Linked DNA regions of Coturnix japonica. The protein of the gene in region 2 interacts with the protein of the main gene of each other region in a biochemical or structural test. Links are inferred from orthologs where the notes say so. Each region holds a gene or a part of one and is shown on either strand. Other genes may lie near its edges.

Region 1 (3,899 bases), on a different chromosome or scaffold from region 2:
GTGCGGGCTTCACTTGGGATGGAGATGAGCTCTGCTGAGGAAGCTTTCACTACATATATGAGGTATAGAACACTTCCCCATTCTCCTAGCTTCTGGCAGTGCCTCCCGTGGGCATCTTACAGCAAGGAAGCAGTGGCACAAGAGACACCCCCTCCACCCTCCCCATCTCCATCTTTCCTCCTGAGCATCAGGACACCTTCACGCGCCCGCTCTTACCTCCAGAGCTTCCCTAGGGTCTTACTGAGCTCAGCGTTGTGGAGGTGCGGGTACTGGTCAGCCAGTTTCCTCCGGGCAGCCTGTGCCCAGACCATGAAGGCATTCATGGGCCTTTTGACGTGGGGTTTGCTCTTGTTACTTCCATTGACTCGAACAGGCATGGGTACCAGGGTCCAGTCATAGCCGCTCAGCACCTGGCTGACCGCTTCACGGATGCAGACAGGGAACTTGTCATCATCCGCCTCCGAGTCTTGCTGCTCCTTCTTGACCTTGCCCATCTCTCCATTCCCAGAGCCCGCAAGGTGTGGAGAGCTGTCCGATGCCATGGATGGTCCTGGTGAGAGGCAGTGGTGGTCTTCAGAACCCACTGGGCTCATTTCCACCTCTGACAGGTCTTGCTCATCAGCCATGGTCACTTTCTTCTTCTCACTGGGGAGGAAAGGGAGGAAGAGAAAAACAAAGGAAAGGAAGGAAAAAAAGAAGAAGGAAAATAGAGAAAAGGAAAAGCAACCACCAAATCCGACTGGGACTCCACACTCCGAAGAGCAGACCACGAGACAGGGGCTGCTTGATAAAAGCGCAAGCAAAGCAATAGCTGTGCACACCACAAAACCCGTGATCGATGGGGGTGGGGATGGATCGGGGCCCTGACCCATCGGGAGCTCTTATCTCTGCAAATGTCCCAAACTGGCATGTGCAGAGGGGACTATGGCAGCTGCCCAGCTGTGCTAAGGAATTATGGAATCATAGAATCATTAAGGTTGGAGTGACCACTAGGATCACCTAATCCAACCGTCAACCCATGCCTGAAATCGCTCTAGACCATGAAGGACAAGGGGTTCTGGGGACCCCATAGAAGGGAGCATAGAGCATCCTGCCTGCTTGCAGATCTCCATGGAGGATAAAACAAAGATCTCCCATCTCCTGGCCACCTCCAGAGCCCCAGGGGCAGTAGGAGAAAGTGCCAATGTGACACCCTACCGCTTGGCCACTGCTTGCTGCTCTTGGATCAAAGACCTAAATCACACCCGCTCCATGTCCCCAAACACGTCCTTGTATATGTACATATAAACACACATACACATATACATATGCACCTACATATCCAGATGCAAACACACACATAGTTCAACTTGAAGAGAAACCCAGGACCTGAACTGCCTGCCCTGTGCAACCCTCATATCTCACTGCCTGCAGTCACCTCTGTAAGTCCCTGCCACAGCATCACTGTCCCCTGATTGGAAAAAGAAATGCTCTAAAAATAAAGCCCTCCCCCCCCACCCCACCAACATCTCTCCCCTAGAAAGAAGTTAAAAGGAGGAAAGAAAGAAAGAAAAAAATAGGAAGTTACAGAAAAGCATGCCTCTTGTTTAGCTGCAAAAGTCAATGCGGAGCAAAGGCTGCTGTCACCCCGCTTTCAGGGGATGACATGAAATCTACGCTGGGGAAATTGAAAAAGTGGCAGAAAGTATGAAAAATAAATGTGCATGCCAGTGAGCTCAGGTAAGAAAACTTACGTTGCTGGCTGGTGCGGGCAGCAAACCCTGTGAAGGCTGCAGCTCCTGTCCCAGTGCCCCCCTGTTCTCCCTCCGGCTGTGGGGCGTGCTGCCGGGGAGGTGCTCAGGCAAGTGCCATTCCTGGAGGGAGGCTTGGTTTTTACTAATGCCCCGGCTGGATGCCTCTTGCTGGCTTTGCTGCTTAGCACTGGGGGAGGGAAGGGTGGAAGGTGGAGCCAAGTGTTGCTCAGAGCCAGGACACAGTCAGGGCTGGTGGGGAGGGGATGCTGCAGCCCCCTACCCCAACTCAGCATTCCCTGCTTACTCCCAATGGGGATAGAGAGCTCACCCCCAGGGTATTGGAGTTACTGGGCACAGGGAGGGATGTGAAGTAATGCAACTCAGGGCTGGGCTCCCCTTCTTTACCCCTGCTACCACTGACATGCTTGTGGTATCCACATTCCCAACATGTCCTGATCCCCATCATGGAGTCCAGTGGGGACCCCAGTGCACTGCAACAATCTGGCCCAGGATAATGGAGTTAAGATGCTGCAAAAAGAGCATCCTGAGTGTGGAGAAGGGGATGCAAGAGGTCAGGAGCATCCTGAGGATGGAGGACATTAAGTCCATATGAGCAGTCTGCAGAGCAAGTCATGCCTTCTTGAACCCACTTAGCACTCTTACACCCTGAAGATGGGGTCCTCACAATGTCTCCATCTCTGTGAACTCTCACCAAGATGACCAGACAGAACTTCCTTGGATGTGTTGAATTGCTCCTGAAGGCAAGTGTGAGGTCTTCTCACATATGAGGACTATCTCATAGTCATTCACTCCTTGCTGCTCATGCACTGGAACACATGCAGGCTCTAATCACACAACAGATTGCAGATTGTTCCCACCAATTCTTCCATTTTCTAGCTTGCTTTCCTTCCCAGATGCATGTGGTTGTTGGCTTCTTCACTTTCCCTTCTCATTGGGGATGTCAAAGAGAAGTGCCAGTCCTGTAACCATGAGAGATCACCCATGGAATTCTGATAATCTTCCCAGATCCTCCTGAATCCCAGCTCTTTGCTGGAGAGCCAACCTGAAGGTGAGAAGCAAGAAAATGCAAGGAGGTGAATGACTGTGACCCAGGGAACAAAGTTCAAAGGATTTCAAGAACATTTTTAGCTTCTGTAACAGATCTTTACTTTCCAGAATCTTTATGGTAGAAAGAATGGTGCTGCCCTGGGAGGTGGTGGAGTCACAGTCCCTGGAAGTGTTCAAGAACTGTGTGGATGTGGCACAGTAGGATGTAATTGGTGGCCATGGTAGGGATGGGCTGACATTTGGTCTAGCTGGTCTTAGAGGTCTTTTCCAATCTCAGTGATTTATGATTCAGTGTAACACCCCACAAAATCCCTGTCTGGCACTGTTTGAAACATAAGGGAATCAATCCCAAGGATGGTGCTGAACATCTGAGCTAACATGCTCGGAATCCAGGATCGATGCCATGCTTCCTTGACCAAAGCAGCAACTGGAGAAAGAGCCTCAAGCCTTATGGAATGGGACAATCTCTCCCACCAAGAAAGACCCCAGCTTCCAAACGAAATGATGTCAATGGTCCACTGGATGCAGAATCAAAGAAGCCACCGAACTTGTGGCATCTACAGGGAGAATGAGTCTATGCTTAACTCCAGCAAGATAGCAAGTGGTAGAGTTTGGGGTTTCCTCCATGTCTCCAGGGTCTAAGTGAGCAGAAGGATGTCTGATCCTCCAACTCCCAACTGTGGCAAGAACAAGAGCAAGCCAGGAAGGGACTTCAGTAACCCACAGGGCTCTGAATCACTGTTGGCCCCACTGCTCTCCTTCTCCACCAGGGACAGGAGCTCTTACATCCCTGCCTTGATGTATGAGACCTTTTTTGAATTCTCTTCCATCCATGATTCATCTCTTTCCTTTTGCTATGAAAACAGACACAGGAGAGCAAGCTGTGGCAGAACATACCTCTACAACAGTGGGAAGAGGTGTGATGCTTCTGTTCAGCTGAGGCAAAAAGACAAAGACACAAAAGAGGAGAGGGGAGAAGAGGAGAGAGAAGAAGGGGTAGGAGAGAGAGGAGGAGAGAAGAAGGAGAGAGGAGAGGAGAGAGGAGGAGGAGAGGAAGGAGAGGAGAGGGAAGAGAGAGGAGCAGAGAGGAAGGCGGAG
Region 2 (3,012 bases):
TAGCAAGCAGAGGACAGTGCACAATTGCCAATAGCCAAGCCCTCAGGAAGGGAAAGGCAATGGAAAACAGAACATCAGAAAAAATGGGAATCTTAGAGAAGGAAATTGTTATTAAAAGGAGACGTAATTTTTAATTATCACAGATATTAAAAGTGTACCAGAGAAATATAATCTAGAAAGGAAACTCTCCATATTTCAGCATTTTTAAATGCCTTCCTCTCAAAAATGTTATTATTTCATTTTCCAGCTGATAAGACAGCGCTTTTTTTCCAAACAATGAAATAAAAACAAAAATTAAATGAGTACATAAGAGCTGAACATTTCAAGGTAGCCAGTTCCCCCACAAAGCAGTGAGGAAATTAAATGCCCACCAACCCTCTAGAACTGGTGTGCCACTGAAACGTATTCCAGTTGTCTGGAAGTCTTTCCCCCAGTTGCCTTTTCTTAACCCTGTAAACAAATTCCCGAGGCCTTTAAGAATGCAAAAATAACCAGTACGAAGGATGAAAAAATAACCAGTACAGAAGCTGCCCATGAGCCATTACTCATTAGAGTTCTAGCGCTGTGTGAAACCATCATAGCTGACCTACTTGCACTGAGTTTAAGCCCTTCAAACGCACAGCAAAGACATGAGGCTTTTGCTGTTGGGAAGACATACAGTGCTAACAGTGCTTGAAAAAAGACAAACCCAGACCTCTGAGCAGCGTACAAGCAGTGCCTGAGCACAGAGGCTGCCCAAGGCTACTGCTGCTCTAGATTGCGTGCAGAAGACACTAACATAAGGAATACACCTTGAGTTGAAGATAACATGGTTTATTTCTTCATGATATTCAGATTAAAATGTATCAATGTATTTAGCACAATACTACATTTTAGGACAAAATCATCAGTGCTTTGCAAGGCTTCATAACTGTTTATTCATTATAAATAGTAAATATTTACTGAACTTTTTACATGAAAGACATTTTTTTGTTTTTGTTGTTTTGTTCATTTGTTTTTTTTACAACACGCTGTTGGTAGAGGCTGCAACACAAAGAGATTTCGTTTTTCCCTCTCCCTTAAGACCAATGTGCGAACTAACCTCCGTACTGAATCTAGTCTAATGCACTACTTCATTGTCCTTAACACTAAAAGGAATGTATTTGTGTTCTGCCTCTCTCTTTGTTCAAAGAATAGAGAGAAATAAATAACACCGTCTTCCATCTTCCTCTCAACATCACAAAACACAAATTTATTGACATTCTAAAATGTCACAATGCAAACTTCTTGTAAACCTTGGCTCCTATAATTATCTTCTATATCGGATATCACTGTATAATTTAAACGACTGTGTTCTGTACAGGTCCATCTCTGTTCATGTCCCGTACATCACTAGAAAATGTAAACGTAATCATTTTTTCTTACTGTTTCCTGCAAATGACCTTTAAATCATGATTAGCAGCTGGATTTTAGCTGTCCAGCAACTGCAACATTTCTGTATTTGATCATTAGGAATTATGCACTGCAAAAATAAAAGTACCTGCAAAAATATAGTTCTGATTCTATCTATATGACTTTGGATGATTCCAAAGCCTGTGTGAGGTACACAGTATTGCACATTGCTAGGCAGTTGTGAAAAAATCAGTCACGTTGGGTTTTTTTTTCCCTCCAAGTTTGTTCAAAAAGGTACAATGGACCAGGAAAACTCCACATAAAAAGATAAAATGTATTTTTCATGTTACATGAGATCTTGTCTCTCGGTAAAGCAAAACTCATAAGTGGCATTTATTGACAACATGATTACAGAAGCATGGTAAGATAACCAGTAAGTTGCTCTGGAAGTCTTTTGCATTTATCCTAGCTTCCTATAGACTGTGACATTTCCTCTTGATGGCCATTTCCAGTGTGTAACAAAAGAGGTTCTGCTGCCCATGCTTCAGAAACTGGGCAGCTTTAACGTTAGACTAAAGTCAGCACTGGACGCCAGATGAGTCAGAGTATGCAGAGCTCAACTGCTAAATTTCAACATGTTCCATTTGTCCCAATCAATGCACATTAATTTCAACAACAACAACAAAAAAAAAAACGGAATGTTTTGCCAGGCAGCAATATTAAGTTCTGCTCTGTTTTGTATACCCACTCATAATGAACCATGTCGCATTTATTTATTCATTATTGCTTTTGGCCTCTGTCTTCTGTATAGCTTTGTTCAGTCTTCAGAAGTCTACTAAATGCTATGACTGGAGAGAGCGGGACAATCCTGCTCCTCTCATTGGGATTGCCCCGGTTTAGACTGCAGTGTGTTGAGAAGATCCCTGGTATCCAAGCTCTGGAGCGAGACCGGAAAATAACACCAGCTTTAACTTGAAGTGGACAGTTCATTTATGCAATATCTGGCTTCAGATAATGAAAGGCACCTGCAATAGAAAAAAAACAACAAAAGAAGCTTTTTAAGTCACGCTGTGACAACCTCGCAGCATGGGGCCATGCCAACTACAGGTTGACATTGTCATATTTAATATTGATATATCAAAGGAAAAAGACTAATATTTTTATTCCTGGGACAAGTTTGACAAAACTCTACGTATCTGGGATTATATACTGTAATGATTCTTGAGCTGACCTCATTAAGAACATGTGTTTCTAATAATGGAATGCCAGTGGTTATTTCGATTTGGACAACCCTTATGTTTTACCTAATGGCAATCAGGTTTCATGTCTCAACAATTAATAACATCAAGATGTTGTTGACATCACTTAAGAAAATAATTATGCAGCAGAATTCTTGCTCCAACCTACAGCTATCTCACCAGTGCACTCCACTCGATTTTGGAGAGTAGTAGCAGTCAGCCATTAGGATCTATTCCTGTAATTTTCTTTGTTGCAGACAAAAACACATACAATTGATCAATGACTATGGCGTTGCAGTACTCACTTTGTCCGTATTGTCCATACTGGTAGCCCGTGACGGGGTCCATGCTGTAGCCAGTGGTGCTGTAGGTTGGAGGGCAGTAGGACTGGGATGTAGGCAGG

What was found.
Region 1: the proteins of PAX3 (region 2) and SOX10 form a complex in vitro, tested with the Homo sapiens proteins (2 studies listed by BioGRID and IntAct). The link is inferred for Coturnix japonica from reciprocal best matches to the Homo sapiens genes PAX3 and SOX10.

The regions. Positions count from the first base shown.
Region 1 is NC_029516.1:46,583,724-46,587,622, reverse strand, and holds the start of SOX10 (transcription factor SOX-10), read right to left. Parts: upstream 2,841-3,899; 5' UTR 2,027-2,840; coding exon 1,734-2,026; intron 646-1,733; coding exon 217-645; intron 1-216. UniProt on the Homo sapiens protein: Transcription factor that plays a central role in developing and mature glia.
Region 2 is NC_029524.1:6,485,313-6,488,324, forward strand, and holds the end of PAX3 (paired box protein Pax-3), read right to left. Parts: coding exon 2,915-3,012; intron 2,397-2,914; coding exon 2,362-2,396; 3' UTR 798-2,361; downstream 1-797. UniProt on the Homo sapiens protein: Transcription factor that may regulate cell proliferation, migration and apoptosis. Involved in neural development and myogenesis. Transcriptional activator of MITF, acting synergistically with SOX10.